Daphnia pulex: one gene and its partners. The protein of the gene in region 4 purifies or fractionates together with the protein of the main gene of each other region. This does not show direct contact. Links are inferred from orthologs where the notes say so. Each region holds a gene or a part of one and is shown on either strand. Other genes may lie near its edges.

Region 1 (5,784 bases), about 930 kb from region 4:
GAAACGTACTCGTTCTCCTTTTAAAAATATACATGGAAAACATATAGACCTACAATGTTCATTTTTCAACTCACCGAGAAGATGACCTAAAAGGGAGCCGTATTCAGGATCTGCGACAAGGGCGTCGTTTTCATAATATTTCCTATGGTTCAATTTACTATAATTAATAATCAATAAATGGAATCAAATAAAAAACCACTTACAAATGATTCTCAACGATATGCTCAATAATCCCTGCCAAAATGCGTTCAAAAAGTGCTAATCGGATCCAAAGATATTTTTGTGTACTGGTTCCTTTAGATAACCACGAACCCGAATTTCTTTTCTGCAAAATGGGCTTGATACCGCTTCCTCCCGTTCCTCCGCACGAAAGCATTCTGGTGATGCTATCTCCGCTTGAAGACGATCTTCTGTGCATAAAAAAAAAAAAAACAAGAACAAACAACAATGTACATAAGATACGACTTCAATTTAAATCCGAGTAGCCTATAATCTGCCTATAATCTATGAACAATTAAACTTCAAAGGTGACAACAAAATTTGCACATACTTTACTCCTTCAGAAGAATCGGCTTCTGTAATGAGCTTTGAAATTACTGCAGCAGGTGGGTATATTTTGGCAACTTTATGCATCAAAGCCGTGGTTGACGATGAACGAAAGAGCCCCAGCGCTCGCCGCCGAAGTCCATGAGACAAGCACCCCTCTACGGCGGCTGCCAAATAAATTTTGTAACGTAAAATATTAGATCTAAAAATCATACCAGTGTATAAAATATCACGTCCCAACAAATATTTGCACAACACTGAATTCATTCAGATTAATCGAAAATTTTAGCAAAATAACAATTAATAAAAGTAAGAGACTTCCGGTCGAATGATTTTTTAAAATGGATAAATAAGCGATAATCGCAAAAATATGGAATCAGCGATCAAATGTGTAGCAACATTCTTTACACATGCATTACTTTGATCAAATTTTATGAGCTTACCACAAAGGGATGTGACGGAGCTGCTGTCTTGGTGCACAAACTTGCGTGTCACTGCCTCTTCCATGATTTGTTTTACCTATGTGAAGAACACAGTTAATATTTTATATATTGACTAGTAACTAGTAATATTCAGTTGGTAACTAGAAAGGGGGCGGAGATGCTTTTGTCAAGGACTTTCATAAATTTTTACCCAGTTACCTTTTCATTTGGTTTAACTTGCCTTTTTCGTCACATTGTTTTTTCGTTTCCTTTTTTGTTTTTCCTGTTGCTATTTCCCCCTAGTTTCTACGAAAAAAGTACCAGAGTGCGGACCCCATGACCAATTGACCATTTCAAAACGCCGTGCGCAAGCGTGATGTCGACGGCCGGTACTTACTTGATTAATTTCAATATGTATTTAAGAAAAAACCGCTAACCTTCTTAGCCACGGTCTTTTGAAAAGAAAAAAAAAACTTACAACTTTGGCTGAAATTTTTTCGAATAGAAAATTATCGACTAAAAAAAAGATAATCACAGGCTCGCAGCCCAGGAGTGAAAATGCTGCAAATCATTCCCTATAAAGTATAAAGACAAATGTGGGTTGGATCGATTGCATCTACTCGTTTGACAGTGTTGCCGCTGTGATAAAATACCGTATTTACGATGTCTTAGCAAAATATCAGAACCTTATCCTATTACCCAATAAATCGACGACGAGCTGTTTATTTATGATTTATCTCATCTTACTACGAAATTAATCCAATGAAGAAGAAAATGATGTTGCGACGTTAAAAATATGGCTTTCAATTTATGGGGCGTAACACCTATAGTTCAGTTAGCGATCGATACGTAAGTAAGGCTGTATTTGTATACGTTTTAAAAAACCAAAATCCGGTGTATAGATTTTTAGTTTTTCGCATTAATCAAAAGATAAAATGCGAGTCCTTACCTCTTTTTTTACAGTTTTGATAAGACGTTCTTTGAACTCCTTGTCTGAAATAAAAAATTCTGTTAGTCATTCTCATGCAATAAATGTATGATATTGCTTCTAAAATTTAGAAAAGTATGTTTTACTATAGTGATCAGGTTATGTCTGACCGACTAGCTTCCATAACTTACCATTTGATGAGTGAGCCATCTTCATAACAGGTGGATAACTAGAAAAAAACAGCAATCGGCTTCCAAATGTGCATATAACGTTACAATTATTACGCCTTCAGATCAACACGACAACTTATAGCGGGGCGGCCAATTGGCAATTGCCAATCTACGAAGGGTTCAGTGTGTTGGAAGTCAAAAGTTTATGGTAAAATGGAGTAGTAGAAGTTCGGATTGTACATGAATACACTATCGTCTTCGGGCACTTGTTGTCGATGTCCGTCAAACTAAAAAACTGGTTGGTTCGACAGCCTGTGGGAAGCACAAAACCGCAGCATGAACGTATTCACAGAGCTCAACGTTTTACGTCACCTACGGGTAGCAATGCGCTTGCGCATGTCAAATGTTTTCAGTGTGTATAATTGAAACAGGAAATGGCCTACAAATATTTAAATCGTGTTGTGTCAACGTTATATTTGGATGTCATCGTGGGAGAATCAAACTCCACGAGATTATTTACAACTTGACTGCGCCAGCCATTTGAATGTTATCCAATGATCAATGCCCTATTTTTCAAATAAAAACTCAATAATTAATAGTCAACTTTTTTTTTGTAAACATTTACTTACTTTGCAGTATACCTTCATCGAAATAAAATTTTAGTTGAAAACATGGTTGAAAAAATTTCCGTGTAAATAGATGTGATAATATTGCCGAATCTAAAAAAAAAAGTGAAATTGGCAACCTTTATGACGTAGTTGAGTTTTGTATTGAATAGTGAATAGTCAGTCAGTGGCCTACTGAAAGTGCAGCAGCTGGGAATGAAATTAAACCAATGTTAAAGTTCACAGACTAGATGCTTTAACTTTGAATTATCCAATTGTAAACTAGTATTCTAATTTTCCATTCAACGTTTTTCGTGAGTGGTATTAGACACGTTAAAAAAAAGTTAAATAATATTGCTAGTGAATGTAATGAAATGCTTGTATTTTTAGGTTTTAATTAGAATGGCTGTAGATGAAGAACCCGACACTACTGCGAAAAATAGCGCAGGAGGTGACAACACAGAAAATAAAAGAAATGAAAGTAGAGGTGAAGAAGAAAGAGCCTTTGAATGCAACATATGTTTGGATACGGCAAAAGATGCAGTCATTAGTATGTGTGGACATCTTTTTTGGTACAAGTCTAAGGAATGTTTCCATGTTTTCAGAGATTGTGTTGTTTAATTTCCCTGTTTTATTACATGAAGCTGGCCGTGCTTGCATCAGTGGCTGGAAACAAGACCAAACAGGCAGTCATGCCCTGTCTGCAAAGCTGCTATAAGCAGAGATAAAGTTATACCATTATATGGACGTGGGGGCTCAAAAGAAGATCCAAGAGAGAAATTGCCTCCTAGACCTCAAGGTCAAAGGACAGAACCAGAAAATACAGGAGTAAATATTTATATAATTTCACTACATTTCATTGTGTAAATGATGAAGTTGGTAACACATATTGTGTACCCTTACGCAAGTGTAAAATAAGAATAATATTTTTTTATTAACCATGACCAAACATTTCAGACTACTGAATCATTTTCTTTTTCAAATTTACTTTTTCAGGCTTTCTCGAATTTTGGATTTGATGGGGGATTTCAAATGTCTTTTGGAATTGGAGCCTTTCCATTTGGATTATTTGCTTCCACTTTCAACTTTGGTGATCCTGTTATTAGAGGTGAAGATACATTAGAAATCAATCAACCTGGTTAATAATAGTAAAAATCTTGCATAGGTCACGGAGCCCATGGAACAAATCCTGCAAATTTGGAAGACGAACGCTTTTTGTCACAATTATTTTTGTGGGTTGCAATTCTTTTTATCTTTTGGTTATTGGTAGCTTAAACTTGTGGTTCTTGGTTCTTCTGTGTTGTAAATTTTTTATTCTAAAGATTCCCGGGGTTTATACTTTTAATGAAGTATTTCTCGAAAATTTCCTAGACAGTGGATTTATATATATGAAAATTAAAAGTGAAATGTTCAGAGATTGCAAGTCTTGTTAAATGAAATTTTTCCCTTATTAAATAGATCATTCGTGAATAACATTTAAACCATATTTTTTAAAATGTGTAGAAAGGACTAGACTATATATTAATTAAATTAGTTGATCAATTGGTTGTACAAGCTGGTCATCAAGATATTCTTGGGGAGTGAATAACAAAATGAAAATAATTACAGTATACATGAAGTAATCCTCAGAGGACACCTGAGAGAACCAAATATGGAAAAGGTAGGCTAATTAATTTTTCATTTCGATGATAAAATCAATAGAATGCGGGAAGCGCTAATAGGATTATACTTTTTGTAGAAAATGTATTTTTGAGTGATTGTACAAATAAATCATGAAACTACCGAAATTGATCCAAGTTCATGTCGGCCCACATTCCACCCATAGGATCGATGTCGACTTCTTCAATGGTTGGCTTGAAAACGATAGCTTTTAACATATGCATATATTTTGTTTTTCACTTTAAATTGAATTTACCTCTTCATCAGAATCAGGAAGATCATCAGCTTCCAAATCCAGATGATTTTCTAGTTTAGCTACCAATGCGTTTTCAAGCCTATTGATGGCCTCAATGGTTTTTACGTTATTCGGTTCAAGCCTAAAATTACAAAGAAAAAAATTAAACACATGCATAGTATGTGAATATGCAAGTTAAAGTAAAATCAAGTGATAAAGATTCTCGTACATTAGTGCAGAATTGTACTGTTCCAATGCTTTATCCATATCTCCATTTTTTATGAATAGGTCTCCCAAAATATGATGTAACCTGTTTGTAGGTTGCTGATTTATTTGCTTAGTAAGCAGTTCAATGGCTTTTGATCTCTGGCCAGCCTGAAAATAATTGTAGTCAATGGTAGTTCAGTGAGTGGTTCTGTAGGATTGTACAGCTACTCACCTGCTCATACGAGTCGATTAAAAGGAATACAGCTGGAGTGTATCGAGGATCTACAACGGAAAACGTTATACAATTTTTTTTTTACACCGGAAACTATTCATGTTAATTTTACCCATGTTCAAAGCTCTTTCAAGGAAAACCTTGCCCTTTGCGGTTGTAACAGGATCCTTCAACAGGACGGATGCGTAGAGCTGCAAAGAGCAGTCAGCAATTTAATTAATGGCTCATTTGATAAAAATCTGCTTTAAACGAATGATTAACACGAAACACTGTAAAGAATGCTAACCGTGAAAGTGCGAGGTGTATGACCAATATGATGAAGAGAGCTAGCAGCTATATTCATGGCTTCTCGACTTCGCTGAAGCGCTAGATAACAGTGAACTATACCACGATAGATTTCGAATCGGTGCGGAGCTGTCTGTAATCCTTCCCTATTATCATGTTAAACTTGTTGTTAATATTACTATAATTTTTTTTTAAATATTACTAAAATTTAAAAAATATCTCAATAATTAAAAAATATATTTCAATAATTTTTTTTTAAACATCACAGGACTTACCTAAAATGTGTGATAGCTTCAGGCCATTTTTTAAGCTCTTGTAAAATCGTACCCTTAAGGATTAGGGGCTCTATCCCAGGGGTTGGAATGCAACATGTGCAAGCCTATGAGAAATATGTTTGCGCGGTTTTTAAAACTATTTGTAATAAGACCACATCGGCATTGCTATCTTACTTTATGCGCAAGGTACAGAGCGCGAGTTAGTTTGCGTGACAAAAGA
Region 2 (6,665 bases), on a different chromosome or scaffold from region 4:
TGCTGGATGTGTAAGCCTATTTCAGACATGGAATTTTGTGTGTTAACTACTTGGTGTGTTGCTCATAATTATTAGAGACGGGCGGATGAGAGACGCTGTGATTCTCTGCGCAAGGCGGTGCTGGAGCATTTAACATCAGCAGAGGGCGCCGTGTGCGATAACTACCGAGATGCTACGATCCGTGCTAATGATAATGACTACTCATTTGACCTACTTTTGAGTAGTAATAATAATAATATTCCAGCAGCCACAGCGTCTAGAGTATAGAGGGACGACGTGCATATTGTGATTTGAAGCGTAAAAGACGCGCAACAAGCCACAAAAGTTGGTAACTAACAAACACAACTGCTGAGCATAATAGCAATAAAAACATGGAAGAGAAATTGTTTCGTTCTTTTTTGCAGCAGCAGCAGCAGCAGCAGATGGAATTGAGGACAACCGGGGTATAGGTATATACATCTGCGTCTATCTACAGACTCTGTTCCTCCTCTTGTTGTTGAAGGCATATCACGATCTAGAATGAAAAAACGAAAATTTCTCTCTATCTCAACATTTTGGACGCCCGTATTATTATTACACATGTTTCAGGTTTCTACGGAGTTTGATCATTTTTTGGCAGATGAACCCCCGTGCACGAGAAACACAAGAAGGTCACGTTCCGCGCAGTCTCTCCTTAGAGTATTTGACGCCTCTCTTAGTTGCATTGGTTATATCACGATTTATAATTGACCCAGTTTCACTCTCTTTTCTCTTTTTGGTTGGTTTTTATTTTCTTTCTTTCTTGAAAAAAGGGATGATTCACCGCTCTTGTAGACGAAAAGAAACATTCGAGTCCATTTGATCGTTTAATGTTTGGCTGCTGCTGCCAGTCGGACGTGACAATAGCCGCTAATAAAAAAAACCGACGCGGTAATTTTTCGAAATTGCTTAGAGTAGATTACAAACACCATATAACGAGAGTTAAATGATATTCAAACGTCTAAATAGAACCCTTCCTCAATTGCTGTGTGCGTGTGTGTGTTTGCTGTGTGGTCACATCCTTTTATTATTATTTTCATTTCAATTCTTATATTTTTTCTTCAAAGTCATTTAGGTATACACGGAACTGCGGGGTGCCGGTAACCTAAATAACGAAAAAATTATTGGTCATCCTTGATGACTAAACCAAGCATGGCCTTCTTTTTCTATTTCTCCTCTTTTTTTGGGGGGGTTTTTATCGATTTTCTTTTTTTGTTTTAGAATAAAAAAAAAAGGAAATGAATAGAACGCCTTAGAATAATAACCGGAAAATCCGGCGTACCGGATTGAAATCATTCCGGGTCGGCCCGTTTTGTCCAAAAAAAAAGTCTATCCGGTCTAATAAATGAGTAGTAGAATGGTTGTCTATACATTTTTCTTACAACAAGAAAGCGAGTCGACGGCCAGCATCTTGAAAGATCGGTCGTCGTCGACTTGACTTGTTGAGCGTGAAAAACGATCTCCCGTTGAGACGGCGGGCTGGCCCAGCCAATAGTTTAACGGGACAACACAAAAAGCAGCGATTACCTCATTGCCTTCGCCGTAGCTTTTTTTCGGGGATGATGATGATGGCTCGGTCTCGGTCGGTTGACGTCATTTGTGTATTCCGTGGCCGTTGGTCCCGCCGCTCGACAGACTGAGACGTCGGGTCTCTTCGACGATCGCACCGTGGCCGGCCAATTTTTTTTTCCCCAACCGCCCGATGTAGATAAGAGAGAGACTATAGACTGCGGTGATTGAAGAGGGGAGTCGAAAGAAAGTGTCGAATTGTTCCTCATCATTCTTTCATGCTGGCTTCCTTTTTTCTTCTTTTTCTTCTTCTTTATCTGAAACCATTTCCTCGTCGCTGGAATCGGTGTCGAGGCGGAACTGAACTGCTGACTCTTCGCTGTTCCACTTCTCACCCGATGCCAGACAAGAAAATTGTTTGATATCGCGTAATCATTCTTTTAAGACTAGACACACAAAAAGAAAAGAAAAAAAAGGAGAAAAAATTAGATGAATTTAAGAGAAGAATTGCATTTTGATATTTCTGTGTTTTACCACCCTGTAAACAAACAGTTTTCAAAAACTCACAAAACAAAAAAGAAAATTGACGAATCACGACAAAATGGTTCTTCTTTTATCATAATAAAAATGAAAACAATGATATCCTCACAATTTGGGAATCGGAAAAAAATAGAATTACATCGACACAATAAGTAATAAAGAGGTGGGGGGTTGGGGTAAGATTATTATTCATGTTTACTTGAAAAAAATAATAATAATGAATTAATTTTTTTGACGTTGTTTTTTTAATTTCTTTTCTCCGATTTACTATTCCTGTAAGAGTAAATTGGTGGCTGCTTCGACGTTGTTTCCAGTCGTTTGTAAGGCTCGCATGACACGGTCACGGCTAAAGCCCATACTCGTCAAGAAGGTCACGTTCTCTTCGGACGGTGGTGTTGGGTCGTTCGGTCGAACTTCTGTCAACGCCCAAAATAAAATAAAAAAGAATTCCGAACGAAAACACGGACGTTGAATAGGTAAGACATTCTTGAAAACGGAAAAAAATTCGATTACCGTTCGGATTGAAGATATTGGGGAAATCTCGGCGGCGCCGTGGGTGTCCGTTGGCACCTTGCTCGCCCCACTGCATTTCGGGACCGACGAGACGCTCGGCGTAGCCTTGCCCCGTGTTCTATAGGGCCAAAAAACATCACGTCTCAGGTATTATACGTAAGGAAATTGAGGACTCGGCGTGGGTATATAGGAATATCAAAAAAACAATTATTCATTTGCCTGACGAGGAGGTCCGTCCCGGGATCGTTGGAGCAACATTTGATGTTCAAGCCTCTCCATTTGCTCCTGGCGTTGAATTTCCAACGTGGCACCCATCGGCCCGTCGGCGGGTGGTGATGAGGATAATAATCGGCCAAAGGTCATGTCTGTTATCCGGGCTAGCCAATCGGGTATGGCCAGCCAGTCTTGAACCCTCAACACGTTCCATCTGTACAACAGTCCAGCAGCCTGTGCAAGTAAAAGTATATATGTCTGTCACGCCTCGAGCGTCATGAAAGCGACCAAGAGGAAAACGAAATTCACTTACAATGCTGCAAAATGCCGAGACAGCCGTCGGGAAAGAGGTGCTGCACACTTGCAGACCTACTAAATATGTCAGTGTTTTTCCTGTGATGGGTATCCCAAGGATATGTGTACGAGTCATTCTCGGGATATCGCACAGGTACGGTACAAAGAGTGGAAAGATCAATCCATATCTTTATTTTTGGGAGAGAAAAATAATGGTTAACATTTGATGTTTTTGCATGTGTCTGTAAAAAGGAAAAGTGATGCAGGAGACTTACGGGCCAGGAGGGAGATGCCCATGGTGATATGAGGCCCATCCTGTGGATCTGATGAGCAAAATGATTGGTACTTGCAGCCCAAGCGAAATGAGACTAGTGGCAAGCAAGTGGGAAGCAAACTTCTTGGAGCCCAGTCGTCTTTCAAACACTCTACATAAAAATTAAGAAAACGAAGCAGAGATGGTTGATGGTTGGTTTGGGCACTCATTCTATATTATATGCAGAAAAGGGGAATTACCTGAAGTAGTATATAAGCAATGCTGCACAAATTAAATCTTTTGTTTCGAGAAAGGCTGTTTGTGATGTAAACAACCTCCACACCTGTTAGCAAAAGACTGTGTAATGAAAAAACTTTCACCTTCCTCACACATGCTGGCTTTTTGAGCAGATGATGGAAATACCTCGCCAGACGTGAAAGTGTTTGGCAGTTGACATATGAGGTACAGCCGTAGATGAGACAGTAGAGGGACATGGATGGCTGTGCAGGTGATGAACAAAGCTCCCATCAGCCCTTTTGATACCGGTGCTCGGTCTGTTGGAGAGAAAACATTCCATTTTTTTAATGACGATGGCTTTATTACTGACCACCTTTGGTTTTCAAACTGGAAACGTTAATATAAATGTCAACATACAGAATCCAGTTGTAGAGTACTGTGAAACGTACGTGGCCATTGCGGAAGAGAAATGTATATTCGTCGGTTATACTGCAATGGAAATCCAGGAAAAAAATAATTTACACGAGATTGGGTTTATCAATAACAACCCATTGTAAACAAGAAACGACCACAAAGTGAAAATGTCGTCAGGTGACGAGATGGGAACCTGTTACAAGATGCGCGGATTCAATGCGCGGAATATCGAATTCCCAGCGCGCCAAATTCGAAGGACGTATAAATTAAAACCAATAATTTCCCGTAGGGATTCTAGTCACAGTCGAAGGAGGCTCAGTTTCGACACGCCACCGCTGCAATTCAAACTGCAAAATTCAATTGCAGTAATTAGACACTTAAATTTACGTAATTGTGTCACCAATCACGCAAATTTTTGTAGGCATTAGATTAAACAAAGAAATCTCTTTAAAATGGATCACATTTTACGAAGATATACTATATTCATTTTTTAAAACAGCGATTCTAAGTCAAACGGGGCTCAGTTTCGAAACGCCACCGCTGCAATTCAAACTGCAAATTCAAAACGACACTAAACATTAATACAAAATTTACGTAAATGTGTTTCTTATCACGAAAATTTTTGTATGAAAGAGATTAAACAAAGAAAGGTCTTCAAAATGGATCACATGAAGATATACTAATAGCTGTATTTTTTACACAGCGATTCAAAGTCGAACGGGCTCACTTTCCCGGCTTGATGTGTGTCAACCCAAAAGCTATAGTTTGCAGGCCTAACAAGAAGCGAATTTGGTAGCAGTTTTTACGACTGCCCGGCGGCCTTGTATACATGTAGATCCCCACCAAACGTGAACAGAAAAGCGTCGGGTTTGTTTGTTTACGTTTAAATGCAAAGTAAGTTTTACCAGTTTTACTACTGGTTTAGACAAACAAATTGGTTATTTACACATTTTTTGGTATGCCTCAAGTCCATAGATAGTATGTAGAATTTCAATTTGTGAGTGCAATCTACCACAATTGACAAACATTTCTTACTGAAATATTTTCCTTTCCCTTTTTAGATGCCTGGAGAAGTTCAAATGGAAGATGAAGCTGAGACTTTGACATTCCAGGCCAAGATTGCTCAGCTTATGAGCTTGATTATCAACACCTTCTATAGTTGATCTCCAACTGCTCAGATGCCCTAGACAAGATCCATTATGAATCCCTGACTGACCCAAGCAAGTTGGACAGCGGCAAGGATCTTAAAATCAAGATTGTCCCCAACAAGAATGACTCACTCTCATGGATACGTAAGTTGAGAAATTTAGTTCCTCCTATTTGAACACGAATTTGACTGTTCTGTTTCTCTTTAGTGGTATCGGCATGATCAAGGCTGATTTGGTTAACAACTTGGGTACTATTGCCAAGTCTGGAACTAAAGCTTTCGTGGAAGCCCTCTCTGCCGGAGCTGACATCTCCATGATTGGTCAGTTTGGTGTGGGTTCCTACTCTGCTTACCTGGTTGCCGACAAGGTGACAGTTCATTCCTAGCACAATGATGATGAGCAGTATGTTTGGGAATCTTCAGCTGGTGGTTCTTTCACCATCAAGCCTGATCACAGAGAACCCATGGGTAGAGGAACCAAGATTGTCCTCCACTTGTAGTATCCAGCTCCAGGCTGGATGATTCGACTACAACGACGTTGAGTAGTGTCAACTCGACGCTGGAGGACTTGGTGAGACAACAACAACAACCCAAATCGGTACAACAAAACTTGAATTCGTGATTTTATTAAAATTCTTACAAAAATAAATTTAATTCGCCCTTAAAGTTAACTACGGCAACTGATTCGGACATGGAGTCCAAGTTGTCCGCCAAGGTTCTGGTAATGCTGCCCGTCTTCCGCTTCCTGCAGTTGCTGTGTGAGAATCACAATCGAGACCTGCAGAACTTTTTGCGGGCCCAGTCCAACAAAAACAGTTACAATTTAGTGTCAGAGACACTCATGTTCCTCGACTGCATTTGCGGATCGACGACGGGCGAACTGGGTCTGCTCGGCCTCTACATTAATGAGCACAACGTCACCCTCATCAACCAAACCCTGGAAACATTGACGGAATATTGCCAAGGACCTTGTCACGAAAACCAAAACTGCATCGCCACTCACGAGTCGAATGGACTGGACATCATCACGGCTCTTCTTCTTACCGACATCAATCCATTAGGTAACAATTTCCTTTCATTCCATTTGATTCTAATAATTATTTGATCAATTATTTAGGAAAACGGAGAATGGATCTTGTTTTGGAGTTGAAAAACAACGCCTCCAAGTTGTTGCTGGCCGTCATGGAGAGTCGTGGCGACAGCGAGAACGCGGAAAGGATCCTGTACAACATGAATCCTCACCAATTAGTGGACGTTGCCTGCTAAGCCTATCAGAAAAGTTTGGTCGGTGGAGAAGAGGCGACTAGTCCCAAAGAAGTCGGCCACAACATTTACATTTTGTGCCACCAGTTGGCGCAGCACAACAAAGAATTGGCCGCCCTGATGAAACCGCCGCCAGTGGACGGAGTCAGTGGTGATGCGGCCCTGCAGTACTACGCCAATCACACGGCGCAAATCGAAATTGTCCGTCACGACCGGACGATGGAGCAGATTGTCTTCCCCATTCCGGAAATGTGCGAGTATTTG
Region 3 (5,533 bases), on a different chromosome or scaffold from region 4:
GTTAGTGTTGAACACACAAATGAGCAATGTAACATGTCTGAAACCCACAATGCAACATTAGATCCTGAAATGGAAGGAGAGGTAATTAATTAATAATACTTTGTGCTATTAAAATTCCAATGAATAACAATTTTATGACAAAAATTACAGGATAACATGGATGGCAATGAAGATGAAGAACTGAATGAGAAAAAGTCCAAAACTGCTGGTGGATTTACTGGTAGAGGAGTCACATTGCAAATGTTACTTGAAGATAACATCCTTCAACCAAAAGAAGGTGCTATGTCACTAGAGTACATGGTAAACATTATACGATATTTCTTTTAGATTTCTTATCTTCCAAGTTTAAAACTTCTATTCCCTATGTGAATTTATTTAGGGACAAAAATTTAATGGGGACTTACTGGCAGATGGAAAAATTTTTTCTGCTGAAGTTCAAGAAGTCTTTAGTTCACCCTCGGCGTGGGCCTTGCGCTGCAAAAAAATTGTTAATCCCGAACAGAAATATGGTTGTGGTTGGTCATCAGTAAGCATAAAATATGTTTAAATTCTCGTTATCAAGTTCAGTAAATTTAGTTCAGATTTTTAAATGATGTAGGTACGATATTGTGGCAGGCCTTTGGATGTATATAAAAACCAATGGATGCGTAAACGACGTTTAGAACAGGTTAGCGACAACTCGACTCCTGATGATTGTAATTTGTCCACTAATGAGCCTGTACTGCTGGAACCTGAACCAGTAATTCAAATGAGTATGAAACAAACTGTCGGTGATCGACAAATTATAAAGCACGAAACGCTAGGAAACAGGACAAGTATCGAGTAAGTAGACAAAACAATTATTTTAAGTTTGGAGTTTGTTTCTAGTTTCTATTTCTTATTGTCGTTTCGTTACCAGGGATCCAAATTTGTTAGTTGAAGCCATATCGTTCGCAAATATAGGGAAACTTCAACCTTTTCTAATATCGTTAAACACGACTGCTCTTGTTGTAATGGACGTTCATTGCTCTCTAACGCGTTCAGAAGTTGTTGGATATTTAGCAGGCCAATGGGACATTAACACGAACAGTGAGTGCTAACTGATATGTTTAGAAAACACATACCCACAATAATTTGTGTGATTCATTTTAGCACTCACGATTAAACAAGCGTTCCCTTGTTTAAATCGAGTTACGACTGATGATAAACGAGGCCAAGCTACCGAAATCAAAATCGCTCAATCAATAGAGAGTGCTGGACTTTGCTTGGTAGGATGGTATCATAGCCACCCTTTATCACCGCCCACTCCAACTGTGCAAGATATTGATTCACAACTCGAGTATCAATTAAAACTCAAAGGAACTGGTGATCAAGGTTACCGACCTTGCGTAGCGATGATTTCATGTAATGAAATATTCCTTACTATTATATGTTATCATTACCTGTTCACTTTACTTTTTTATTCAGCACCGTTCCATCACGCGGAACCTAGCCAATCAACGTCGACCACTCACTTGACGTGCTACTGGGTGTCTCCTCCTACCGAATCTCGACCACTTGAACTTGGACGTCCTATGGCCATGCAATACAACGTTGTGTATGACGCCACCGTCAAAGATGACGTAGTCCCTAAATTGGTAAGGCAAACTTTACTAGTTCTCTAATGACATTACAACCAATCTTTATTTAACATTTTGCTAAATTAGGAAGCTTGCCTTAAATTTTACCGTGATTCTCCTGACCGCACAAATTTTGACGAAAACTGGTCTGATGAACTCACGATTCTGGATAAGTTGAAAGCGACTTTGAAGTCCAGCTTACAAAGCGAAGATGATGTGATTATCGATTTGGTTGACACACTCAGCAACATGACCAAAGTGAAAACGAAAACAGATCTCACCGACGTAAAATCTCCTGCAGAACCTATAGACCCTGAACCCCAAAACAACCTAAAAGAAATCTCGTGTATGTGAGACAAGAAAATCGCGAAATCTATGAATCGAGGTTTTTCTTTGCAAAATTCCAGCCATCTGGGAATCATGCGTACAAATAATACATATGAATAAAAGAGTGAGACAAATTTAGTAAATTTAAATTTCTCTTAAGATTAAAGGGATACATTTTCCAGAAATTGATGGGAGGAGGGACGATAATCGTTTCTTTAACATAAACACATCAAAACATTAGAATCGGGGTTTAATTTTGGCCATTGTGAGGCTAGTTTTGGCCACCCAAAACATTTCCACGTCCCCAGTCATAGCGTCGAGGACCTGCATCCTGTGCAGCTGCTCTAAACTCAGCCCTAGGTTGAGGTGCCGCGCCGAATCCTTGTACTCCGCTTCGTTGATTCGGAAAATATTTGTATCTGAAAGACGAAGTATTTAACATATTTGCTAAAGTTAAATAAATAAAATGGCGTGTTACAGGAATTGCGGAGTAGTTAAGAGCAAAGGACCACCAAATTCTTGAGGATACTGCATCGTGAGGAAAAAGTATAAATGTCCCACGACAATTCCAACAAGTTCCATGACTCCACTATTGTAGTAAAAGAATTTAGTATATCACAAATTACATTATTTGCAGTTTCTTTACCCTCCAGCAATGATCAAGTTAAATCCAAGCAAGACCCAAGGAAGATACATTGCCTTGAACTGTGTTCCAAACCAGAAATTGACAATTGTGTCCTTATTTAGCTGACACCAAACATACAGTACACTCAGTACCATTGGATCCATCAAATACTAGAAAAAAATTATTGTTATTGTAGTTATTATGAGGTCTTTTAGGAAGCAACATGTAGTCGGAATCAGGAAACCAAATACTTACAGGAAAATCAGCTAGGAGTCCAATTATGACACAGCAAATCCAGTTGAATAGCAACATGAAAAAGTAGTCAGCTTGTCGCCCATTGAACAGTCCAGTTTCAAGTTGAAGAGAATAGTTATACAAGAAATACAAGTTGATGAGAAAGTGAAATCCTGTTTTTGGTGTTATTGGATAATAAAATAATGCTGTTGCTGGTCTCCATATCTATTGAACAATCAATTTAAGAATAAGAATGATGTTTTCTAAAATATTCAACTACAACATATTACATGGAATGATTCAAATATAGAATGGTAATCCAAGATAAGATATTTTGGACTCAAAATGGCAAATCTGCCAACTAGTGACAACGCAATAGTTAGTCCGAACCAATGCCTTGTGAAAATAGGCAAATTTTTGAACCAGCTGCTTAGCTCACTCATCTTTAAAAAGGTTTCAAGCCACTTTTCCAAATTATCTGAAAGGAAATGTATCAAAGAACAATGTGTATCTCAATCGAATTCAAGTCAAGATCAAATCGAAGCAGACGAACACTTACGTGTCATTAGAGGATAAATACAAAACAAGGCCAAAACCCAAAATCAAATCGCACAGTCATCCCCTCCAATGCCATCTATGAATCACCAATGGAAAAGAATAAAATAAAAATAAAAAAAAAAGGTTAGTATAATTAGAATGATGATAGGACTATTGATTTCTATTCAATAAAATTAATTCGCCAAGACCTTAGTGCTCGGCGCAGTTGAACCGAAACAGTTAATACACTACCAACGATAAAGAAAATCCTTAAAACGATTAGCGTTATGAGTATGACTGTTTTTCCTCATAATTTGTGTTTCTAAAGGCAGGAAAGCAAATGTGTGGTAGAAGACAGATTCCAGATTCGAAATGCATCCTGCAACGAGTCGAATAAAAACTAATCATATTAATTTTAAAGGGAAAAAAAGAAGAATAACTATTTTACCACGCAAAGGAATCGTATGATACCGGGTTGTCGACAAAAACTTTCCTTATTAAACTGTACAAATTCTCAACACATGCTTAATCTGATGGCAACACAGATAAGTTACCATGTGTATTAAACTGGGAAGGAAGGAACAAATCATTGGGGAGGGGGGGGGGGACCTCGTTACGAGATTCTACGACAAAAGAAAATTTCCAAATACCAGACAAAGCAAAATTGTTTGAAAAAAAAAGGCACCAAAGGTATTAGTTACAAATCACCCGATAGGACACTTTAGCAATAGAAATCAACAACAACAAAAATGATCAATGTCATAATTTTGAAGACAATAAGGCGTTTATTAGAATCAACTTGATTTACGGCCACCTCCACTGCTCGGTTGCCCTTGGCCGGGAACTATACGGTACTGAACGCGATGAGAATTAGATTGCAAATGACGAAGATGTCCAGCCTAAATTTAAAAAATTTATTCCATTTAGACAAGACCTAATACTAATTTAATCAACAATCAAGACATAGAACAAACGAAGTAAAATACCTGACAATTTGCCCATTCTGTGATATCATAAACGGCACCTTCCATGCAAGCGTAGTATTTAGAACGAAAGCCCATGTATCGTGATTCAGCCCATAGGTCCCCTTCGCGGGCGGAATGATGAATTTTGCAATCCTATTAAAAAACAAAATGAATGAAAAAAGGAAATTTTTTATTTTCGCACTTTACATGTACCTGACAATATCGAGCAGCATAGCAAGGCCGATTAGTTTTCACTCTTCTGTGACGCTTGGCACAATTGGTGCACCGAATCGTGTTTGCGGCCTCGTCCATTTTGGCATGCAACCGTGAGAGTAGCTCGTTGAGCTCGGCCCAAGCAGATTCCATCTCGTCTGCTTCTTGTACTAATTGGTCGTAGTGGCTGCGTCGCTCTGGCTGACCAACCAATTCAAAGGCATGCGCTAAGATTTTGAAGGCCTCTTCAGCTCCCCGTTGTCGATTTTTATCTGGGTGAACTAAAACAGCTTGTCGCTTGTAGTAACGTCGAATCTCTTCGTCGGAGCAATCTCGTCGAACACCTGAGAAATAAAATCTATAGCGAAAATGTCAATTAAATGTGAAGTCTACATCCAATTACCCAGGATGCTGTATGGATCTCTTCCTTTGCAAGCCAATAAACGATGCATAGCTTCTTCTCCGGTAGCAGGTAAAGGGATATTGGCATTTAAACCACCTAATGTGCTGCTTCCTTCGTCAGCTGATTTGCGTTGAAAAAATCGGAAAAATTCACGAATGGACGGCAACCAATTAGTTGTAACATATTGACGGCAAGTCCGTGTCTGAAATGATATCCATTCAGTGACCAAGAAACTTTTCTCCCACAAAACCGTGCGGCATTGCTGAAGTCCCACCCAAATCAAATTGCAACTCATCTGAATAACGTCAGCGCACAAGTTGTACAACCTGATGAAAAGAGAGGTGTCAATTAACATCAAATTCAAACAAGATATAAATAAATACGGATATTACCACAAGAAGAACCATCCACAGAAACGAGCAAGCTGTAATTTTAAAAGTAAAAGAAGAATTTGTGAATTTTATGAATGAAGGCAATGCCAAATGTAGGAGGAATATCCTTATTGATAGAAACCCACCTTAGGGAAATAGGCACGCGCAAGTGTTGCACTGGTGCTGGGAGGTGGGTTTCTTTTGGTTTGGCGTCGATTAGTTTTTTCACTGTCCTTTTCTTTTACTTTGATTTTAATCCT
Region 4 (6,543 bases):
TTTGTTGTCCAAGAACATACTGAGAAAACTATTGAGGCTGAAGTGTTTAAAGCATTGGAAAAAACTCGATTATTAGAGAGTCGTGAAACAAGTAACTACCACAGGTACTTTGATTTATTTAGTTTTATTTCCATTCACTTTATTTATTTATCTAATTTTTTGCTTGTTAGATGTGGTAGAACTGACAAAGGTTAGTTATTTAGTTTCTCTTTAATTACACTTGTATTTGGTTTTAATTTGGCATTTTTTTCTGCTTAGGTGTTAGTTCTTTTGGACAGGTATTTGCTCTAAATTGTGTCTTTGATGTTTGGGCAGCCGAAGTTTGTAGCTTTAATTTTATTCCATTTTACAGGCTATCTCTATTGATTTGCGCTCCAATTTATCAGAAGGCAAAGGTGTTTTTATTCCAGATGGCCATCAAGCAAAAGTTGGAAACACCGTCGAAATCGACTATGTTGGTATACTTAATAAAGTTCTTCCTCCTGAAATCAGAATGATAGCTTGGGCGCCGATAAATCAATCTCTGAGTGCTCGTTTCGACTGTCGGCAAAGAACGTACCACTATTACTTTCCAAAGGCTAATCTCAATATAGAGGTAAAATTTAAAAAAAAACTTGCTGTATTTACTAATCGTTAATATACCTATTCTCTAAATCGTCATCCATGCAGAGAATGAGAGTCGCCTCACAATCGTTGATTGGGGAACACGACTTTCGCAACTTGTGTAAAATGGATGTGGGCAATGGAGTCATTAAATTTGATCGGCGAATAATGGACATTCAAATTGAAGCCATCGATGATGATAAGACGAATAGCTATTCAATGATACGATTGAAATTAATAGGACAAGCATTTCTCTGGCATCAAGTCAGGTGTATTGTTGCCATACTTTTTCTTATTGGACAAGGTAAAGAAGAAACGACAATTATCCAAGAATTACTTGACGTTGAACGCAATCCTAGGTAACAGTAACTCGACTCAAATTGTTTGTTTTTTTTTTAAATACTTTTTAAAATATTATTTTATCCAATCATAGGAAACCTCAGTATGGGATGGCGTCTGAAATTCCACTTAATTTGTTCACTTGTACTTATTCCGATGATGACTGTCAATGGATTTACGATGCGGAATCTCTTCGATATGTGATAAGCGGTTATCAGACGCTTTGGGCCGAAAATAGCATTAAGTAAGCAATAAAAGAAACGAATTTTTTGTGAAATCTTATTAATGTTTATTATTGTAGGGCGACGATGATTAAAGAAATGTTGAACAGCCTAGAAGGTTTGCTTGATGACAAAATTGAAAGTCAGTTAAAAGGTCTGGTATATGGAGTTGAACCGAAAACGTATCTGCCGTTAATGGAAAGGCAAAAATGCGGTATTGAATTCACTTGACGTGGTATTAAAATGCCTTAACTTATCACTTCTGTTTTAAAATATACATATTGCAGAAAGTTTGGAAGAGCGTATCCACGTATACGCCAAGCGCCAACGAATAGAAGTAATTGAAACTGACGCCAATTGCCCTTGATGCCTGATCATGTGTTAAAACTGCAATTGTGAATAAAACTTCTGTACCAAGGATCATGCTTTATTTAATTTGAATTTTTAGGGGTTTAAATTGTTGCCATAGCCATATTATACTCGCATAAAACGCTACTTTTGAAAGAAAATCACCTATTCTTGTTCAAGATATTAAGGGAAAGATTTATTAATCTCAGAAGAAAAAAAATGTCACACATTTCCGATTTCGTCCTCTACATGTTTGGTAATCAAATGTTACTATTGATTGCGCATTCACTTCGTCGGTAGTGAATCAGTAAAATCACGTTTGTAGGCCCTGTTTGACAGTGAACGTCTGTGTGATGGGACTAGCTTGCGGCATAGAGAGGGTTTTCTTCCACGCCCAGTCGAGCGAAGCGGTATTTCGTAATTATTAAAAAGGCACTATCTTTCTACTCATAATTTACCTTGCCAATATACAAACAGGTTTTTTGAATTATGAGATGCACTAATGCATAATTTACGCACTTTAGGATCAATAACAAATTAGAATCACACGTGTATAGCAAGAAAATCAACTTTCAATGATAGTGGAATTGTTTTCGAGTGCTTGTCTCTGAAGAAAGCGATTTCGAGCTTCCGCGATTAATTCATGCTTACGACATTGAAGAATGTGTTGTCTTTCTTGCGGATCATCAACAAAGAGCTTCTCTGGTTCCTGGGAAACATCAAATTGGTTTTCTTGCCTGGCGAATGTTGGCAACGTAGATAGACTAGGCTCTTGTTGAAAGCTGGGAAGTGTGGGCAGAAGACGACCCTCTAATATATTCTCAACTGTTAAGTCTACTGAGCGAGTTTGCCGTAGATCTTCAACGATAACAGAAAACGAATAATCGGGAAACAATTGAAGTACCTACAACGATAAACATTTAAATTGTTGAACAAGAATTAGTAGAATTTTATGATAGATTTCGTCACACCTGATCAGCTAAAGCTTCCAATTGAGAGTTTTCTGCAGCTGCTACTACCGGAGTATCAGTGTTTTGTTGAAACAGTCGACTCCAGCCCGTCCACGATATAAAACTTGCAGTTTCCCGGGGACGTGAAGACGAAGCAGTTTCTTTCGATCCATCTTCTAAAAGTTGGCGTCGACACGTAGGGCACGTAGGATCCTGTTCCAACCAGTGCAACAGACAACCTATACAAGTATAGATAGATGAAGGATTGCCTCATTAATTGTTATGAATCAATACCATGATGAAAATGATGACCACACGGCAACCGTCTGGCTACAGCTGCTGCTTCCCAGCAAATGGCACATTTGTTATCCTCCCATTCAGATTCGAGTTCGAAATGGAGTGTTTCCAAGGGACAGCACTATTATAACAGAATAAATTACTAAATGATTAAAACTAGAGACTTGGCAGAAGAAGGGGAGATTAAGATATTTTAGATCGACTCGAGTACAAACCAATTCCACCAATTTCAGCAACCGTTTGTAGTTCCCGTGTCGCCGGAGACGTCCACACAGCTGTTCGTAGAGCACTCGCAGTTGCATGAAAATGACCAAAGATGCCATAGAGAGCAGCATATTCGCTCGCAGAAGCATGTGAATCTAAACGAAAAGAGACAAAAAAGGGGTTACCGAAATTCAGTCGCATTGCAGAAAGCAATTTCGTCTCACATGATGTGCCAAATCCACAACGAGGCATGAAATCTCCACCGCCAATTCCACGTAGTACGACGAAGGACTCCACCCTATGATCCAACAATCGTCAGATGTTTGAGCACATCGAGAGTCTCTGTTGCGAATGCGCAACTCAAGTAACCTTGAGAGATCTGATGGATGGGCGGATGACAAGACTGCAGGTAGAGGATGTATCTAAAGATAACGTGGGTGGTACGTAAAGCCAAGAGAAGACATTCCGGGGCGACCAAGGCAAATGTAATCCATCCAGCGCGTTGTCCAACGGCGAGGCAAATCAAAAATAATAATCCCGATGCCACCAGAATCGATCCCAGCAGGGTAAGCAAGCGGATGTGTCGATTTCGAGGGGTACATGGAGTCATAGATAACTATAATTTCGCCAAACATAAGATAAATTACAATACCTGTTTGAGCTTTTAAAAAAGAAAGATAAAATCCAATTACATATTCAAATCTGTCTTGGCAAAGTTGAGCATGAATGTGTAGAAAGCCAATAACAGAAAACCAGGACCCCCATAATATAACACCTTCCATACTTTGAACATTTTTAATGCCAAATATAAAAATAAATTTGTAAAACACAAAATTCCAAAACTTGTCTTTGATGTGCTGTAGTTCAGAAACTCTTAGTTCCCCAAACACCTGCTTCTGCAGCCAATTTCCAAATAATACAAGGAGGCAGTAAGCCATGTTCACAACAATCTGTAAAGGATAGAAGATAAAAAAGGATTAAAGTGTTGGATATTGACTAATAATATAGGATGGCCATGTTCTAACCCAAATGCAGAGACTGTCATGGATAGAAAATGACACAATATCTTGAGCTCTGGAGCTGAGCCAGTAACGAGACAGGATGTTTGAAATAAATGCTTGCAAGGAGTTGGGAATCTCTTGGCTGCTATTCGTTTTAACAAATTGCATCCTCCATTCAGGGTTTTGTGTTTTTTCTGCAGCGTAGTGAAGAGACAAACCCAAAAGAGAAACACTGACTACCGCGTAAGCTTCCAAACTCGGGAGAGGTAGTCTCTCAAGTAGTAAGACAGGCATGTTGTTGTTGTTGACACAGAAAAATTGGGTTCACAAGACGACAAAACTACTAACAAATCTGGGGTGAAAATTGCATTTGAAAACATCAGCAGAAATAACTAGGATTAGCTAGCACAGCAATTCAAGGCAATTTCATCTTGATAACACTGCGTTATCTAACGACCATTTCGATAACAAGTGCCTTGTCAAATGATTCAATAATCCGAAAATGTGTCAAAACTCTGATAAGGCGGGTAAGGCTAAACAGCATCTAGTACACGTAAACACTGCAAACGGAATGAAAAAAAATTACTGACGTTTTGGGCGTCAACCTCAAAAAGTTCCAGCAAACTATTTTCTAGCAAGGTCAAAAATATGCAAAAATTACAAGGCAGATTTCGTCTCGCTATCCCCAGGGGAAAAAATGTATTCAATGTCAACTTTGCATACATGTTCTCAAATGTAGATGTAGACTGAATTGCGCTCTCGGAGACTCGGACAGTCAAGCTAATAAATATTCAATTATTCATTACGCATGTGATGCTGGGACTGGGCTGAATCTGTTTTTAGATCGACGAATACTGGTTTGTTATTAAAAATGAAAAAGATACGTCACAAGTCTGAGTAGATTTTATTGTTTTTACTCAGAAACAACTTCAATAAGATCCCTTAATAATTTTCTGAGATATATTCGCTAAATATTCCGCAACATTCTCCCGCACCAAAAATGCTCAGTTTTATGGCACTGCCCTAAGACACGCATAAGAGTACTCAATTACGCTAATCTAAATTGCACTCCCGAATCAACCTTGAAAAGAAAATGTATTCACTATTATTATTTCTGCTTTGATGGCAACGCGTGATGGAAGACAGAAAAAAGGGAGAAACATCAGAAATAAAACGTTGTCTAGCTGCATGTCTAGCCGATTTTATCGTCTTGTTGGGCGGTTATGAAAAAAGTAGCGTGTCATTTCGTACCAGATGGGGACCGGAAGAAGGTGTCCTTGCACACACACGGCACTGTTATAACGCCTGATTTGCGTCCTCAACATTCGTTACAATAGGGCGTCAGCTCTGCAAAGTAACTGAACCGTTAAATTCTGTAAATGTTCACATTCGAGACAATTTGAATCCACTACATACCAAAGTCTTATCGCGTACCTCCTGATGGTCACGACAGGTCAAGGTTTCCATTTGAAATTTGCGCCCTGTTTCGCTTTTATCCGATGTAGTGGTAATCCTTCAATATAAATAAATGAAGCAACAATAACTTTGCGAAAACAAGGGATGGCTAAGTAATTGAAGTGACTTTTGAAGTTCATTTCATTTTCTCTTTCTCTGCACTTTAAAGAGAATCTTTTTTTTTTTTTCATTTTGGCTCTATTCCAATTTCTTATACTGTAGCGTTTTACAACACGCATTTCACAAGCAGTTAACATTTATGTTTATCATGTTAGTGTTAAGTTGTTATTTGCGAGGTTATTTGGTTGAGCCAAATTTGGATTATTGGAATTCAACAAGATATGTTTGCGGAAAACGCCGCTATACAGCTCCCAGCATTAAATGGGTAATATAGCTTCAAAGCCGAATTCTGGCTATCATTCCAATTATTTTTCAGACGAATTAAGACCTATTCTTCGTAGACGACCTTCCAACCTGTCAAGTAAAGAAATATGGAATTCTTTTCTTTTGATTAAAATTCTATTTTATAAGTTGTATTTCTTAAAAGACTGTTTATTTATTATTCCATGAGCGAGAGCAGTCTAAATGTGTGCGTCCATTAAAAACGGGTTAGTTATTGGAGCAGGCCCGCGTCAGCAATTGTTCACGAGTCGGTTGCATGTGACTTTGAAGAAGCCATAAATTTCGTCGCGTTGGAGACGCGAAACAAGACCAAACGACAATCACGCTGGGGTTTTCCATATTAAAGAAACTTGTTCGTTTCCTTTAATTGGATGGATCACTCTTTCGTGTTATTATCAAACTTGTGCAAAACATTATCGTCGATTATTCTTCGTATTTAAGAAATTCCAATGCCCTTCGAAGGTAATTTTTTTAAATTATTATCCGGACTAATGATGATGACACGAGAAATAATTATCAAAATAAAGAAAATTCAACGAACTTCTTTTTTTTTTTCAAAAATAAAAGATGCATCTTTTTTAAAATACTGCAGCTTAGTCGAATACGTTGCGGCGTAGATGCCGACGCGAAGGCCAACACGTAAATATAGAATTCACCTTTAGGCCATTGAACAACCGATCTATTATTTTGAAATATTCCTATCCCTGGATGTTAAATTTCTTG
Region 5 (6,355 bases), on a different chromosome or scaffold from region 4:
ACCTTTGGTGTTAAATACTGAAGAATTAACGGTAGTATCGATTTGATTTCTTCGGGTGTGGTTATTTCTTTGCCATATTCCGTTCCGTTAGTCCAGTCTGTGTCAAACTGCTTAGTTTTAATCACCGTGTAAGAAGAAATCACAAGAGGGTAAATTTACCAACGACTCGGGCAACGGAACCTAAAACGGCAGGTGGGACGGCCAGGGTAAGGCATCCAAGAGCAGCAATGTAAGACAGGTACTGGGCCTGTCGAGGAGATCGACACGCCAAAACCCGCTGAAAATAAACTTGCCAAGGAATTCCGCCAAGGATGATGAGCAGATAAATGTCGACGTAGCTACCGACAGAGGACAGCGGAATTGTACCTAACCAATCAACCTCGCTCATAGCCTCGTGGTCAACGGCCGGATGAGTCCAGACAAACGGAATGCAGAATACCTATGATTGCAACGAGAAATTCAGTCAACTGAATGTTGGATTTGAAAAATGGAAATACCAGGCCAAAGAGAACACATCCCAGTTGAATGACGTCAGTATAGGCCACGCTGTAAAGGCCTCCAATCAAGGTGTAAGTAACAGCCACAGCAGCACTTATGATTATCGACAGAGTATTGTCCAGTCCCAGCATGACGGTGAAAATGGATCCTATTGCATAATGCTAAAATTAAAACATTTTGACAGCCAACATTTAAAAAAGTTTTTCTAATGCGTCACCAAGGGCCGACAGGATAGCAGCGGACCAGAATATCTCCCCGCACAGGGCCGGCAAAAACAATAGCCCACCAATACGTGAGCCGTATTTTTCCTGGAAGGGATCGAGCATGGTAACATATCCTCGACCTCCGTGGGCCATTCGCATGGGTTTAGCGAAAAACATTCCACCTTTTTATCCAAAGAATAAAAATGATGAAACATGATTTACTATAGACACACTAATGAGGCAAACACACACACACCAAGTAAGAGGCTCATGGAATATCCGATCGCCATTGTAGAGCATTTTAGAAAGCCACCAGTGAAGGCGCTTTCACAGGTGCCGTTGATGTAACCTCCTGCTACCCACGTCGCTGTCGTAGTTGTTGTTGTTTAAACCTGCTTGTTGGAAACCAAATCTACCCCTCTTGTATACTGAATCGGGACAACACTCATCGTTACCCGTCATCGTCAGGACTCCGACGAACAATCCCATATCACGTCCGGCCAGCATTATGTTCTCCGACAGGTTAGCACCGCTTTCCATCCGCTGTAGCTGTTTAAATTTCCTCTTTTCCTTCCATCCTACCCAAATTCCAACGGCCAGGATCAAACAGTAGAAGAAAGCCACAGAGATGACGCCACCGATATTCACGTTCATCTGTAAACAAAAAACTGGACAAGCCAAAGTGATAAATTGTCACAAGGTCAACTGAAAAGGTAAAACCGAAATATAGGGATAATAACAAAAGGCTACGACGACGATATCTTACGTTTGACGGCGTCGCTATAACTTATCACTCGGCCAGTCTAGTCAGACAGCAAAAACCGATTGGAGAGCCAGGCGTAGGTGCGACTGCAGCCGATGTTCCTCACTCTATATGACTGCGCACGTGCGGCGGATGTTCAGCGTCGCGACGATATGGTTGAAAATGATACACATCTGTCACGTGATCTTTTGGTCGTCAAACGAGACACTAGATTGTCTTCTAGTAGTCACGGCGATGATGAGGCAAGAGAGTAATGTCTGCCCAGTTTCCTTTACTCAATTTCTTGCACTAGAGTTTTTGGTAGCAACGACCGTTGATTGGCGTACCTCTCTCGTCTAGATTTCGTGCTCCTATAAAAGTAAAAACAATTCAAGATTTTACTGCAAAACGCAACAGTTGTGTAGTGAATTTTTGCATTGGGGGAGAGACGACGTGGTATAACGGGAAGTGTACTAGAGACTCAATAAAAGTGGCCTTTGGAAGAGTTAGAGGGAGAAATGAGGGTATCCCAAAAATAGAATTACAGAAGGTATGCATCTTGCTGGCCTTGTTCCAGTATACATTAATGGCTCTGCCAGAAACAAAAAAGCCTTTCAGCATCTCAAATCATTACACAACTTACTAGCTGTAGTAGAATTTACAGATAAAATAATGAAAGCTACTGCTATGTAATTTTCTATCTTATGAGAGAGCCAATTCCTTTCTTTGTATTCTTTATTACCTAATCTGTTCCTAGAAATTGATACATGAATTGTGGTCGGTCAACATGTACCAGGCTATAGTAAAAAGAAAACACACTCATCGAATAATTATGTAAGAGTAAAATACTTGTTTTGTGATGTGAAGATGGTTGCTCAATCACCTATCCCAGCATGAACTGTTACTCAAGTTGCATATATCCTTTCACATTAAGAAGAATTTAGAGTTTCACAAAAGTCAATAACCGTGGAAATTGTAGCCAACCATTTTTCAAACCAAATATACGAACTACGACACTCGACCATGTGTTTTTGTTTTATCTGCAAGACTGCACTGAATGCACCTACTTCCAGTTTCATCATCTCCCTCCCAATAATAAATAAAGTAGAAGATGGATGATTTATCGCCAAGACCCGAAATGAAAAATAAAAACTAGGGGTTACGTCAACAAATTCAATTTAGTCAAAATAAACTGAGGTTCCAACGGTTCAAATCACTCGAATCTTGGATGGAATAATAATCAAAAAGTTGTCTGCTACATCAAAAGAGGCGCCATTTACACCGTTGCAATAGCAACCAAAAATTGATCTTTGGAATTCCCTTTTTTTGACATTTCCGTTTCTGCTGTAGCCTCTACAAATTGTCCACGTCGACCAAGGGGGGTTTGTTAAAAGAAAAAATAAACAAACCAATTTGACTCTTGGGAAAAACGATGGTTGGTAGTGTTTCGCGAAATCCTTACATTTTTGGATAAATCGTTTCTTGATTGTATTTCTAGGTATTCATAAATTGTTTTTCTTATTTGAGGTTCGTGTTTGAGCTGGTCATAGTCCTTTGTATACAATAACAGTATACAATTTAAGTGATAAAACATCATCTTAGTTGACTGTTGATGAAATCAATTACAAGAAAGCACCATGGCTTACCACACATTACGCCAAGAGTATATGTTGATGCCTCCAGTAACTCGGGCATACACCACTGTTTGCTTGCTCACTTCAATTGCAGTGGTAAGTAACACTCGAAACTTTGAAAGGGACTCAGTAATCGACTGCAAAACATTTCCTTTTCAGCAACTGGATGTGGTGTCACCTTTTCAACTGTATTTCAATCCTTTGCTCATCACTCAAAAGTTTGAGGTAATAGGATTGGTTTGCTTTTGTATGGTAGCCAAATCATGTAATCTTGTATTTGCAGATATGGAGGCTACTGACTCCATTCTTCTTTTTTGGGACATTCAGCTTCAATTTTCTGTTCAACATGATTTTTACCTATCGCTATTGTAGAATGTTGGAGGAGGGTTCATTCAGAGGTAGAACAGCTGATTTTGTTTACATGTTCATATTTGGCTGCATCACAACAGTGGTAATTATGAAAATTTGCATGAATTCCTGTTTCAAGTTTTTTTAACTATTTGCTTTTCTCATGTTTTTAGATATGTGCTTGGTTTGTAAATTTATTGTTCCTTGGACATTCGCTCACCACGATGTTCGTCTATATTTGGGCTCGGAGAAATCCTTACGTTAGGATGAATTTCTTCGGCCTTCTACCTTTTCGAGTAAATAGGACAAAGCAACTGCAAAATTCAAAACACCCTGTGCGAAAATTAACCGATAATTTTTTTCTCTATCCTGACATTTTTATAGGCCCCATATTTGCCTTGGGTTCTCGTGGCTTTTTCAGTTCTTTTAGGCAATAGCGTATTGGTGGACATTCTCGGGATCGCCATCGGTCACTTGTATTTCTTCCTGGAAGATGTGTTTCCTAATCAGCCTGGAGGCAGAAGACTCTTGGCCACGCCTCGTTTACTGTATGCAACAATTTGGCATTCTCGAAAAGAAAAACATCAAAGATCGGTCAAGGGGTTCACGGTTTCTTTTCTTTTCCCCCCCTAGGAAACTTTTGTTCGACACGCACACTGAAGACCCTCTTTACAATCCGGCTCCTGACGAGCGTCCTGGGGGTTTCGATTGGGGCGGTGCTGGTGCTCCGGGAGTGGCAGACGCAGTCGCCGACCAGCCGAGAGAAAACGAAAATCAGTGAGGAAAAGAAAGAAAAAAAAGAGAAACAAACACAATCGTCTTTTTGAAAAATTACTAAATGGCAAAAGAAAATACATGGAAATTTGTTTAATATACAGTTGTCGATGTTCGCCCTCATTATTCCTTCTACACAGTGGCCCGGTTTTCTTTCGCTTACCAATGACCGACTAGCATTGACATACTGCTTTGTTGCAACGTTTACAAATATCCAGCGCTTTCCCCTTTCTCCTTTTATGGCCATCTTTTAACCGTGTCAAGTTTACACGCAATCAACCGTACTCGTAGTGTCCATAGTGCAGTTCTTCGCCCATCCAACTCGAACATTTTGGGAACACACAATCAAAATCGGAGCGCACTAGATAATGAATTAATATTCTATTGATGTGAATAAACAAGACTATTCCCTTTTTCGCTAGCTCAGAGATGAAGGGGAGGCGGACCGACCATAAGTCAATCTGAGATAACCGATTGCGAATTCTAGTGAAAAGGTTCTTTGAACGTCCAAGTTTGCACCGAGCGCACAGCGATTTTGTTTCAAGCCAACAAATAGGAAGGAGCAGTTGTCAACCTTGAAAATGATACATTCCCATCTGAAGCATAAATGTCCAAAAAACTCGATTGCATTACGACGCCTTGTTTGTAGTGAATGCGCCAAAGATTTCCAAATACACAACTTGAAGGTCGCAAATCTGTCAAACTAACAAGACTTGCTATTTGTTTGGAGTCATTTGATTTTCTAATCCTGACCTGCTACAGAGATGATGCTGCATTGGGAAAGGCTTATGCTACAGCGAGTTCACTGCCCTGATCACACACGCAGTCCTCAATTTTGTTTTGTTTCTTCAAGGATCTTTTGAACTGCTTAAAGATGTTTAGTCCACCAGATAGTGGAAGCAGATACTGGAGTTGGGAATGTTATAGTCTAGAATTGAAGAGATAAGTAGAAATCAAACCTGCACGATGACGAAAGAAATCAAATAAATTTAGTTGAAATTGACTCTTGTATACATAAATCTAATTAAGAAACAGACAACTTAGGCATTATTTTTTCTTTCCTTCTCCTCAAGTAGTCTGAGATATTCCCGTTCCTCTTTCTCCTTCATTTGGCGAATGGTGTCCTCAAACATCTTTTTGTTCACCCTGCTTTCGGCAGGGTACATTTCTCTCCTCAGATTGATCATCCAATCTTCAAAATACTCTGCCTGGTTAAAGTAATAGAAACAACCAACTGGGAAAATCATGTACATCCCCATTTTGGCTGCTTCCAGTTGCCAGTTTCCCATGTTTGGATTGTGAAACCTGGACAAGAAAGATGAAAAATAATTTTCCAGCCATCGATCCTACAAGTTTTTTCACAGCTTACTTGCTCTAATATAATCGCCAAGTATTTTATTCACAAAACAAGTTTGTACGTGTACCACACAGCACATGTAATACTGTGACGGGAGAAAGTCACGAATGAAAACAGCTGAGTTGTTCTGCTAGAGTCGTTGCCATGGCGCCCAGTTTGAAATGCCCAAAACAATCGGCTGTCATTTCGTTCATAGCCAAAAGCCATCGTCGAAAGCGATGAAATAATGGGAAGACAATCAGTTCAAAATGTTGTGGATTCTTTCAGCGATAGAATATTTCCAGGTCTGTCGGATATACCTCAAGATTTCTCATTCGTATCGGGTCAAAGTGACATAGGTAACTTCAATTCTTCTCAAATCATTCAAGTTCTATCTATTGCGTCTCGTACTTTATGCTAAACGTTTGATTGTTTTATGGAGCAAAGTTTATGATGTCCAATCAAGTTTGGTACTGCAAATGTCACTATACTTCAACTTGGTCTACTACCCAGTGTGGCTGGCGATCATCCTGGCATCATTTGTGGCAAAGGTATTTACATAATACGAAGAAAAAGTCATTGTCTTACATTTCACTCATCATCTCTTGCTACATTTGGCAGCACCAATGTTTTGGCTGGTTCTCGTATCTCCTTCTTGGAATTGGAGTCTCTGCCTGCTGTGTGACGGAAGCCACCAGGATCTACTTGGGCATGTCTGGCAACCTGAGCGAGCAAGTGGCAGAGCTGTCCACCTTCTGGTTCACCACACTCCTGGTCCAGCTGCCACTTGTGACAATCATCCTGATCGTGGCACTCAGCC

Evidence for each region.
Region 1: the proteins of E3 ubiquitin-protein ligase AMFR-like (region 4) and E3 ubiquitin-protein ligase RNF185-like purify together in Homo sapiens (affinity purification with mass spectrometry; 3 studies listed by BioGRID and IntAct, with this or other methods). This does not show direct contact. The link is inferred for Daphnia pulex from reciprocal best matches to the Homo sapiens genes AMFR and RNF185.
Region 2: the proteins of E3 ubiquitin-protein ligase AMFR-like (region 4) and ubiquitin-associated domain-containing protein 2-like purify together in Homo sapiens (affinity purification with western blotting; 4 studies listed by BioGRID and IntAct, with this or other methods). This does not show direct contact. The link is inferred for Daphnia pulex from reciprocal best matches to the Homo sapiens genes AMFR and UBAC2.
Region 3: the proteins of E3 ubiquitin-protein ligase AMFR-like (region 4) and derlin-1-like purify together in Homo sapiens (affinity purification with western blotting; 4 studies listed by BioGRID, with this or other methods). This does not show direct contact. The link is inferred for Daphnia pulex from reciprocal best matches to the Homo sapiens genes AMFR and DERL1.
Region 5: the proteins of E3 ubiquitin-protein ligase AMFR-like (region 4) and derlin-2-like purify together in Homo sapiens (affinity purification with western blotting; 4 studies listed by BioGRID and IntAct, with this or other methods). This does not show direct contact. The link is inferred for Daphnia pulex from reciprocal best matches to the Homo sapiens genes AMFR and DERL2.

The regions. Positions count from the first base shown.
Region 1 is NC_060017.1:4,028,402-4,034,185, reverse strand, and holds E3 ubiquitin-protein ligase RNF185-like, read left to right. Parts: upstream 1-2,823; 5' UTR 2,824-2,948; exon of another isoform or gene 2,949-2,985; intron 2,986-3,061; 5' UTR 3,062-3,073; coding exon 3,074-3,243; intron 3,244-3,315; coding exon 3,316-3,499; intron 3,500-3,667; coding exon 3,668-3,779; intron 3,780-3,836; coding exon 3,837-3,946; 3' UTR 3,947-4,146; downstream 4,147-5,784. Other genes in the region: small G protein signaling modulator 1-like, read right to left, coding at 75-142, 204-410, 551-713, 990-1,065, 1,918-1,961, 2,088-2,112; anaphase-promoting complex subunit 7-like, read right to left, coding at 4,450-4,524, 4,587-4,707, 4,795-4,940, 5,005-5,054, 5,117-5,195, 5,291-5,435, 5,565-5,668, 5,739-5,784. UniProt on the Homo sapiens protein: E3 ubiquitin-protein ligase that regulates selective mitochondrial autophagy by mediating 'Lys-63'-linked polyubiquitination of BNIP1.
Region 2 is NC_060027.1:3,138,963-3,145,627, reverse strand, and holds ubiquitin-associated domain-containing protein 2-like, read right to left. Parts: upstream 4,194-6,665; 5' UTR 4,035-4,193; coding exon 3,995-4,034; intron 3,895-3,994; coding exon 3,764-3,894; intron 3,684-3,763; coding exon 3,601-3,683; intron 3,513-3,600; coding exon 3,363-3,512; intron 3,276-3,362; coding exon 3,107-3,275; intron 3,028-3,106; coding exon 2,800-3,027; intron 2,699-2,799; coding exon 2,581-2,698; intron 2,484-2,580; coding exon 2,335-2,483; 3' UTR 2,035-2,334; downstream 1-2,034. Other genes in the region: inositol 1,4,5-trisphosphate receptor-like, read left to right, coding at 6,522-6,665. UniProt on the Homo sapiens protein: Restricts trafficking of FAF2 from the endoplasmic reticulum to lipid droplets.
Region 3 is NC_060018.1:4,692,780-4,698,312, forward strand, and holds derlin-1-like, read right to left. Parts: upstream 3,344-5,533; 5' UTR 3,228-3,343; coding exon 3,075-3,227; intron 3,010-3,074; coding exon 2,806-3,009; intron 2,721-2,805; coding exon 2,572-2,720; intron 2,515-2,571; coding exon 2,404-2,514; intron 2,345-2,403; coding exon 2,197-2,344; 3' UTR 2,056-2,196; downstream 1-2,055. Other genes in the region: MPN domain-containing protein-like, read left to right, coding at 1-81, 151-300, 380-526, 599-822, 899-1,068, 1,132-1,616, 1,686-1,952; dnaJ homolog dnj-5-like, read right to left, coding at 4,116-4,220, 4,308-4,439, 4,500-4,843, 4,903-5,228, 5,295-5,326, 5,420-5,533. UniProt on the Homo sapiens protein: Functional component of endoplasmic reticulum-associated degradation (ERAD) for misfolded lumenal proteins. Forms homotetramers which encircle a large channel traversing the endoplasmic reticulum (ER) membrane.
Region 4 is NC_060017.1:3,096,364-3,102,906, forward strand, and holds E3 ubiquitin-protein ligase AMFR-like, read right to left. Parts: upstream 4,531-6,543; 5' UTR 4,258-4,530; coding exon 3,988-4,257; intron 3,913-3,987; coding exon 3,655-3,912; intron 3,579-3,654; coding exon 3,332-3,578; intron 3,261-3,331; coding exon 3,187-3,260; intron 3,118-3,186; coding exon 2,974-3,117; intron 2,880-2,973; coding exon 2,756-2,879; intron 2,701-2,755; coding exon 2,483-2,700; intron 2,416-2,482; coding exon 2,077-2,415; 3' UTR 2,049-2,076; downstream 1-2,048. Other genes in the region: tRNA pseudouridine(38/39) synthase-like, read left to right, coding at 1-104, 171-190, 259-278, 353-595, 670-962, 1,037-1,186, 1,244-1,377, 1,451-1,530. UniProt on the Homo sapiens protein: E3 ubiquitin-protein ligase that mediates the polyubiquitination of lysine and cysteine residues on target proteins, such as CD3D, CYP3A4, CFTR, INSIG1, SOAT2/ACAT2 and APOB for proteasomal degradation.
Region 5 is NC_060027.1:833,967-840,321, forward strand, and holds derlin-2-like, read left to right. Parts: upstream 1-2,733; 5' UTR 2,734-2,878; intron 2,879-2,941; exon of another isoform or gene 2,942-2,970; 5' UTR 2,971-3,080; coding exon 3,081-3,173; intron 3,174-3,236; coding exon 3,237-3,302; intron 3,303-3,360; coding exon 3,361-3,528; intron 3,529-3,598; coding exon 3,599-3,721; intron 3,722-3,809; coding exon 3,810-3,973; intron 3,974-4,058; coding exon 4,059-4,206; 3' UTR 4,207-4,893; downstream 4,894-6,355. Other genes in the region: high-affinity choline transporter 1-like, read right to left, coding at 3-97, 160-439, 498-646, 716-883, 958-1,068, 1,157-1,355; transmembrane protein 17B-like, read left to right, coding at 5,783-5,894, 5,983-6,086, 6,157-6,355.